2 linked regions of the Caenorhabditis elegans genome follow. The protein of the gene in region 2 purifies or fractionates together with the protein of the main gene of each other region. This does not show direct contact. Each region holds a gene or a part of one and is shown on either strand. Other genes may lie near its edges.

The links.
Region 1: the proteins of pas-7 (region 2) and cyp-13A8 fractionate together in Caenorhabditis elegans (co-fractionation; one large-scale study listed by BioGRID). This does not show direct contact.

The regions. Positions count from the first base shown.
Region 1 is NC_003280.10:9,804,609-9,809,770, forward strand, and holds cyp-13A8 (Putative cytochrome P450 CYP13A8), read right to left. Parts: upstream 2,962-5,162; 5' UTR 2,925-2,961; coding exon 2,569-2,924; intron 2,503-2,568; coding exon 2,356-2,502; intron 2,306-2,355; coding exon 2,206-2,305; intron 2,139-2,205; coding exon 1,842-2,138; intron 1,793-1,841; coding exon 1,536-1,792; intron 1,489-1,535; coding exon 1,345-1,488; intron 1,248-1,344; coding exon 1,019-1,247; 3' UTR 992-1,018; downstream 1-991. Other genes in the region: cyp-13A7 (Putative cytochrome P450 CYP13A7), read left to right, coding at 1-342, 413-556, 602-839. UniProt on the Caenorhabditis elegans protein: Cytochromes P450 are a group of heme-thiolate monooxygenases. They oxidize a variety of structurally unrelated compounds, including steroids, fatty acids, and xenobiotics.
Region 2 is NC_003280.10:10,097,651-10,101,698, forward strand, and holds pas-7 (Proteasome subunit alpha type-3), read right to left. Parts: upstream 2,205-4,048; 5' UTR 2,204-2,204; coding exon 2,134-2,203; intron 2,085-2,133; coding exon 1,972-2,084; intron 1,927-1,971; coding exon 1,357-1,926; 3' UTR 1,132-1,356; downstream 1-1,131. Other genes in the region: lact-2 (Beta-lactamase domain-containing protein 2), read left to right, coding at 104-766, 815-1,039; puf-12 (Pumilio domain-containing protein 12), read left to right, coding at 2,679-2,798, 2,849-3,151, 3,199-3,703, 3,756-4,015.

The DNA.
Region 1 (5,162 bases), 290 kb from region 2:
CGATTTGTTTTTAGATGCTAGATCAACTGTAGACTTTTTCGAAGGCGAAGCTGAACAAGATTTTGCTAAAAGTGAAGTCTTGAAAGTGGATAAGCATCTGACATTTGATGAGATTATTGGACAACTGTTTGTTTTCTTGTTAGCTGGATACGACACGACTGCCCTTTCTCTGTCATATTCTTCATATCTCCTGGCAACACATCCAGAGATTCAGAAGAAATTACAAGAAGAAGTGGATAGAGAATGTCCAGACCCTGAAGTCACTTTTGATCAGCTGTCGAAATTGAAATATTTGGAATGTGTTGTGAAAGAAGCATTGAGATTGTATCCATTGGCGTCTCTGTTAGTTTTTTTTTAATTTCTAAGTTTTGCCGTGGTGTAGTTTGTTCTCTGTAATTAAAAAATAATTCAGTGTTCACAATCGAAAATGTCTCAAAACCACAAATGTTCTGGGAATGGAAATAGAAGCTGGAACAAATATTAATGTGGATACCTGGTCTCTTCACCATGATCCGAAAGTTTGGGGAGATGATGTTAACGAGTTCAAGCCGGAAAGGTTGGTTTTATTTGACAATTATTTATTTCATCAAATGTTCTACAGATGGGAGTCCGGGGATGAACTATTCTTTGCTAAAGGCGGATATCTTCCGTTCGGCATGGGACCAAGAATTTGTATTGGTATGCGATTGGCTATGATGGAAATGAAAATGCTTTTGACCAATATTTTGAAAAACTATACATTTGAAACCACACCAGAAACTGTGATTCCATTGAAGTTAGTCGGAACTGCTACTATTGCGCCATCAAGTGTGCTGCTCAAACTTAAATCCAGGTTTTGAAATGTGTTTTGTACGGATTGTTGTCTTTGTTTATATATTTACCCAATAAATTTGTATGTTCACGTATTTAAAAGCACAAACTTCTATGTCAGTTACTTAAAAAATTAAATTTAAAGCTATTTGTATTAAGTTGAAGAAAGTTAAAACAACATGGAGGGATTAGGAAAGGTATATTATAATCAAACTCTCGGCTTCAATGACAAGAACAAGTTTTCAGGCCTTGCAGTTGCTCGGCCTACTAATTTAATCGGAAGCTGTGTCTTCGCATTTGTCTCGAAAGTATATTTTTTGAGTATATGTGACAATAATCCTTTCTGCTCCAAAAGTGCAAACCGCATTCCGAGACATACTCTGGGTCCAGCACCAAATGAGAGGTATGCTTGTTGAGGAGTTAATGGAGAGTCCCATCTAAAAATATTTTTAAATTACTTTTTCATAGAATCTTGATAGACGTCACTACGCTCTTGAAAAATCTTTCTTAAAGTACGCATCGAAAATATCTTACCTTTCAGGCTTGAACTCTTCTACGTCATTTCCCCATACATTTTTGTCATGGTGAAGAGTCCAGGTGTCGATCATCACATCAACACCAGCTTCTACAATTTGCTCTCCGATAACCGTATTTCTCATGCATCGGCGGGAGTTTGCACTGAAAGTAAAATATATTTAATTTGTAAGTAAACATTGGAAACTCACAAAGAAGCAAATGGGAACAATCTTAATGACTCCTTGATCACATTATCCATATATTTCAATTTTGAAAGCTGATCAAATGTGATCTCATCATTTGGACATTCTTTGTCTACTTCGTCTTGTAACTTGCTCTGAATTTTTGGATTCAATGCCAAGAAGTATGTAACATAGGAAAGGGAAATGGCTGTAGTATCAAATCCAGCAACTAAAAATACAAAGCACTGGCTAATGATTTCTTGAGTGGTCAGTTGTCGGTTATTCTGAAATTGAAGGAATTTATAAAAATCACTATGTTAATTTCAAGCTTACATAGGAGGATGATTTATGGAATTCGTCATTGCTTTCACCAAAATGTTCAACTTCGGCTCTTGCATTCAAAAACATATCAATATAATCAGCGGCCTCTCCTGGCTCAACTCCATGTTTCTTATCGGCTTCTCGTTGAGCAATCCGGGACATCACTGCGTCCGTTACCGATTTTTGCACGACAATAAAGGGACCAGCTCCGAACTTGCCTACTTTAATGAACAACCATTTGAGAAAAGACACAGCAAATGGAAATCCTCCACTGAACATCCAGATCTGCCAGCGGTTGTGCTCGAAGAACTGTAAAAATACATTTTTGTTAAACTTTTAAAATTAAAAATCAATCCAACAAAGGAGATGAACCTACCCCTTTAACATCCTTTAATAATGGATTTTTAAACATTTGGGAGTCGGGTTGTCCCATGGCAACTCTGGAGATCACGTCAAAGGTGTACTCCTGGTAGAAACTAAAATTTAACAGTAAAACACCTTAATTAGACCGCTATGAACAACTTACAGATGCATATTGACTGCTTTTCCATTCTCTGATTCTTCTCTTAATTTTTTCATAAGCTCCTGTGTGCTATCTTCCATTGTAGTCAATACTTTTTTGATACTGCCATTTGAAAATGCAGGTGCCGTGATTGTTCGGAGACGTTTCCATCTGAAAGTTATCAATTAAAATATGCGAGTGGCAGGCAAGCCAGCACGTCTGAAGTGGTCTCCTTACCTAAAACCTTGAGCTCCAACAATATGAATATCCTTATCCTTATCTGGATCTCCTTGAACTGGATTATGCTTTCTTCCATAAAAATTATCGTACTGTTTCACAAGGATTTCCTGAACCAAATCAGGATCTGAAATCACCATGACTTTCTGCATTCCTTCAGTGAATCCATAAATTTTTCCATATTCCTTTGTCCATTTTTGAAGAGTGTAACCCGGTGGGAAACTATCCTCCAGCATAGCTCCAGCTTTTCCGAAAATCGGAACTCCCCAAGGGCCTGGCAATCCACGTCGCTTCCAGAAAGTCCAATGCCAGAAATAGTAGGTAACAATTGAAATTAGGATGAGCTCGAAAATCATTTTTCAGACGTTGAAAATGCTGAATTTATAAAGCTTCCAATTCTCAAAAAATGAGATATCCACCATAATTTTCTTTCATTTTTATATCTGCCCGAACAGTCACAAACCAAATTTTTGACACAGAAAATGTATAACTACTATCCCTTTTTAACTTTTCCCTCTCTCCACAAACACATACTATCAAGCCATGAGTGATGCAAAGTTTTGACGATAAGAAAGTTTCGAAACAACTGATTATTGTGATAGAAAAATATGATTTGTCGCGTGTGATTTGAGCATGATCAAGTTCAAAATAGGTGGACAGATAACTAGAGTGTTATTATTGGCCTACAGTAAATAAAGTTTCTAAATTAAAGTTTGGTTACTGTAGCGGTATTTTCCATTCACGTTTCAAAAATTGTCTAATCTCCATAATTCTCAGTTTAAAAAAATTTGAAAACCAGTGCACAATTCAAACTCCATATTCTCAATAATTCTCAGTTTAAAAAAAATTGAAAACCAGTGCACAATTGAAACTCCATTATTTCCATGATTCTCAGTTTAAAAAAATTTGAAAACCTGTGCACAATTGAAACTCCATATTCTCAATAATTCTCAGTTTAAAAAAAATTTGAAAACCAGTGCACAATTGAAACTCCATTATTTCCATGATTCTCAGTTTAAAAAAATTTGAAAACCAGTGCACAATTGAAACTCCATTATTTCCATGATTGTCAGTTTAAAATAATTTGAAAACCTGTGCACAATTGAAACTCCATATTCTCAATAATTCTCAGTTTAAAAAAAATTTGAAAACCAGTGCACAATTGAAACTCCATTATTTCCATGATTCTCAGTTTAAAAAAAATTTGAAAACCAGTGCACAATTGAAACTCCATATTCTCAATAATTCTCAGTTTAAAAAAAATTTGAAAACCAGTGCACAATTGAAACTCCATATTCTCAATAATTCTCAGTTTAAAAAATTTGAAAACCAGTGCACAATTGAAACTCCATTATTTCCATGATTCTCAGTTTAAAACAATTTGAAAACCAGTGCACAATTGAAACTCCATTATTTCCATGATTCTCAGTTTAAAACAATTTGAAAACCAGTGCACAATTGAAACTCCATTATTTCCATGATTCTCAGTTTAAAACAATTTGAAAACCAGTGCACAATTGAAACTCCATTATTTCCATGATTCTCAGTTTAAAACAATTTGAAAACCAGTGCACAATTGAAACTCCATTATTTCCATGATTCTCAGTTTGAAAAAATTTGAAAACCAGTGCACAATTGAAACTCCATATTCTCAATAATTCTCAGTTTAAAAAAAATTTGAAAACCAGTGCACAATTGAAACTCCATATTCTCAATAATTCTCAGTTTAAAAAAAATTTGAAAACCAGTGCACAATTGAAACTCCATATTCTCAATAATTCTCAGTTTAAAAAATTTGAAAACCAGTGCACAATTGAAACTCCATTATTTCCATGATTCTCAGTTTAAAAAAATTTGAAAACCAGTGCACAATTGAAACTCCATATTCTCAATAATTCTCAGTTTAAAAAAATTTGAAAACCAGTGCACAATTGAAACTCCATATTCTCAATAATTCTCAGTTTAAAAAAAATTTGAAAACCAGTGCACAATTGAAACTCCATTATTTCCATGATTGTCAGTTTAAAATAATTTGAAAACCAGTGCACAATTGAAACTCCATATTCTCAATAATTCTCAGTTTAAAAAATTTGAAAACCAGTGCACAATTGAAACTCCATTATTTCCATGATTGTCAGTTTAAAATAATTTGAAAACCAGTGCACAATTGAAACTCCATATTCTCAATAATTCTCAGTTTAAAACAATTTGAAAACCAGTGCACAATTGAAACTCCATTATTTCCATGATTCTCAGTTTAAAACAATTTGAAAACCAGTGCACAATTGAAACTCCATATTCTCAATAATTCTCAGTTTAAAAAAAATTTGAAAACCAGTGCACAATTGAAACTCCATTATTTCCATGATTCTCAGTTTGAAAAAATTTGAAAACCAGTGCACAATTGAAACTCCATATTCTCAATAATTCTCAGTTTAAAAAAAATTTGAAAACCAGTGCACAATTGAAACTCCATATTCTCAATAATTCTCAGTTTAAAAAAAATTTGAAAACCAGTGCACAATTGAAACTCCATATTCTCAATAATTCTCAGTTTAAAAAATTTGAAAACCAGTGCACAATTGAAACTCCAT
Region 2 (4,048 bases):
GCGAGACCCAATGGGAAAAAGGCGGCGCCAGAAAATCGCAATGCAATAATAAATTATAAAAATTCGCATGCTGAATCACATTCAAGTAAATTCTTAATTCCAGGCAGGTCTTGCTGCACTCGATATGCCAATAACCATCGAAGACGCCAACGATTTCGAGAAAATGAGTGAAGTCATCGCATCACAAAAACCAAACTGGGAACCTGGAACTAAATCTGGATATCATGCAATTACTTACGGATGGATCGTTGATCAAATCGTTCGACGCTCCGATCCGAAAGGTCGATCAGTTGGACGATTCTTCAAAGAAGAAGTCGCCGATGTTCACGGAATCGACTTTCATATTGGATTACCGCCAAGCGAAGAGCATACCGTATCCCGTCTTTCAATGCCGTCCACACTTCATCTCGTTCGGGAGATTGTTCATGATCCACGTGTTCTGATTGTACTTGCAGTTTTTAATCTTCGACCACCAAATTCTATTGCAAGAAAGATTGCTGCAAATCCAACGTGGTTCAAGTTGGAACAGGATGTGAACACCTTTAATAATCCAACTCTACATGCTATGGAGCAAGTCGCTGCTCTTGGTATTACAAAGTCAAGAGATTTAGCTAGACTTTTCTCACTCGTACAACAAGGAAAACTGTTCTCTACTGAACTTCTAGAAAAGTTCCGTGCCCCCCAAGTTCAGGGGATTGATGAAGTTGTCATGACTCCTCTACCAAAAGGACATGGTTTCCTATACGAGAGACATCCAATGGGAGGGGTGAGCATCGTTTTAATAAATATAATAATAAATCAATTATTTTTTCAGAAAAAGTGGCTTGTTGGACATCCTGGTTACGGTGGCAGCACAGTAATGATGGATTTGGAAGATGGGATCACGATTGCCTACGTCTCGAATGGATTGAAAACTGGAATGGGAGAGCTTACGAGAACATACAGACATCTTCGAGATTCTGTATTTGAGTGCTTGGAGAAACAGAAGACTGGTCAAAGTGTGATGATCGAGGAAGCAGTTCAAGCAGTTGCCGCATAACTTAAAAAATTGTTGTTATCCTTGTTTGTACATAGCGCCATAATTTGGGACGGGTCTACTGCCCCCAGCGAATTGTGCATAAACATGTTTCTGGTTTGTCTGAATTTGTATTGAGAAAAATGGGTAATACCGGGAAACCGAAAAATAATGAACAGAAAAAGTTAAAAAAAAACATCCGGGTGCAAAAAGTTCTTCTTGAAGTCGGTGAGTCGGTTTGAAGTACAATAAAATGACTCGCCGAGCGCAAGAAGTTTACCAGGGCAGAAAGAAGAGAGCTGATAATAAATTAAAAATGTGAATAAATACACGAGAATGATTCAATCGTCCATGTCGTCCTCGTCAAGCTTGGCAATAGCCCATTCCTCGGCAGCAGTGACAACCTCGCTTGGAACTTCTTCGTACTTTCCGTTCGTCTGCTCACCGACCCATCCCATTTCGATTTGAACGTTTTTATCCTTGTTCTCGTCACGCACCACCATAATGATTCGAGCAGCTTCCTTCACGAGTTGATTCACATCCAGCTCCTCGATCTTCAGCTTCTCAATCTCAGCTTTTGCGGCTTGGCGATGTTTTCCGACAGCCCATGCCTTGTATTCATAGTTTAGACCTGATGGCTCCACAAGGAAAAGACGTCCTCCAGTTTGTTTGTTCCATGACATGAAGAAGGCTCCTGCTCCAAACGGACGACTAATGCCGAGAGTGTGAATGTGAATGTACTCAGCAACTGAGTTAGCAATATTCTGAATCGGCATTGGCTCACGGTAGTCTTTGAGCCACTTCATTGCTTCTCCGTAAGCATAGTTCTTCAGAGCGAAACCATCTGGATAGTTTCCAGCAACTGCGACACCAACATTGTCGTTCACGTTAAACATTCTTGGATTAGCGTTCTGAAAATTATAGATAAAATCTTGAAAATCTCTTAAATTACTCACATCAGTGTAAAGTTTGGAAGAGATCAGCTTGTCAGCAACGACCACAACTCCGTTCTTGCCACGAATTGCAATCATTGTTCCTGCATTGTCGACAGCCTTTTGAGCGTACTCGACTGAAAACGAGATTATGAGTATTTTGAACAAAGCAAAATCGAAACAAACCTTGGAAAATTCTGCCATCAGGAGAAAAAGTAGAGGCGGCGAGATCGTAGCCGGTACCGATTGAACTCATTCTGCAAAATAAAAACTATGTTAACACATATATGATTGCAACTGGTACGTGTTTTATTTCTGCGGAAATCAGAAGAACCGTTAAAATTTAATATTTAATAATTCGTTTATTTGAATGCGTTAAAAATAGTAGAATTATTGCGAAAATAAAAGCTGATAATCTGAAAATGGCAGCTAAATGGAAATAAAATTTCAAATGATGATTTTCCAATGTCGATTTACGGGAGAGACGAACATTGCGGCAGGTCTCGCAACGACGAAGAAGAGAGTGTGTAAATTGAGAGACGTCAGAAGACAACATGCGCCTTTAACATTTTCTTTTCATTTTTCTTTACTTTTTCGTAACTTTTTGTTACTATTTTGAAGCTGTGCAATTTGTTTCCAAAGTAAAAATCGCTTAAACCTCACATAAAATTGTCTTGTGTTTATTACTCCTTTTAATATGCGTGTCTTTCAGAGAAATCTCGCGGGTAAAAATGGTGAAACTCGACGACAAAAATAAAAAATTCAAAGGGAAGAAGAAGGTTAAAAATGTGTTGGAGAAAAAGGCAAAAGGATTAAAACTCAACAAAGTAGACAGAAAGCGAATTGTTAAGGTTTGTTAAATTACTTCATTTTGTAAATAATTTTTTGTGAAATATTTCAGATTGAAGAAAAAGCAGCGTTAAAAAGCAAAGTAGACAAAGCTGTGAAGGACGAGTTGGAAAGGTTGAAAAAGTCATCTTCAACATCAGTTTTTGATAATGATGGGACTCGTGACTCTTTGTGCTCGGAGTCTTCGTTCGGAAGCCAGCCAGCACCGAAAAAGAAATCGAAAAAAGTGCTTTTCTCAGGAGAACTTGAACATGTTAAGGTTTTCGATAAGCGAGTTCAGGATCTTCAAATCAAACCATCAGAGGCATCTCCAGGAAGAGGAATTCTCAGATCCCCTCTTGATAAGAAGGTTAAGGTTTGTTAATTCAATATATCGTCTTTTACACAATTGTTTTTTTTCAGAAACTTGCCAAAGTGAAGACTGTCAAAGTTGCTCAGGAAGAAGAAGAAGAGCATTCCGCTCCCCCAAAGAAAAAAGTGAAGGTTAATGCAGAGAAAGCCGTTGCTTCTGAGCCAGCAGACGATGAAAATTTGGAATCTGTCGACGAACAAGCAGGTGGAGATGAATCTCATATTGACATTCCAACTCTAAAGAGAAAGAGAGTAGCTATTCAAGTCACAAAGTCTGTTAAAGAACAATTGCTGAATATGCCGAGAAAAGAAAGAAAAGCATTTTTGAAGGAGTTGAAATTGAAGAGAAAACCTGAAGGAGCTCGTGCTCAAAAATGCAAGGAACTTTGGGAAAAGATCAGAATGGGAAAGACGCCAAAAGCTGAAAAGGATACTGCGGTTCACGAGTTGTATGGTCTTGTAAAAGGACACGCTGCCAAGCTGATCTATGCTCACGACACCAGCAGAGTTATCGAATGTCTTGTTGCCACTGAAAGAGAAGGAATCATTAACAACTGTAAGTTTTTTGAAGGTTCCCATGAATAATTACGAGAACATAATTATTGCAGTGTTCAACGAATTAACCCCAGAAATAGTGAGGATGTCAAAGAACGTCTATTCCAAATTTTTCGTCAAGAAAATGTTGAAGAATGGAACTAAAGAACAACGTGATATTATCATTAATGCATTCCGCGGACATGCTCCAACCCTGCTCAGAATCAAACATGCTGCCGAAGTTCTTGAATATGCTTACAATGACTTCGCTAATGCCCATCAGCGTTACAACATCATTACTGAATTTTATGGAAAAGAATTCATTTTGTTCAGAGTAAACAACATTCAATTAAGCTCTAAAAATAGT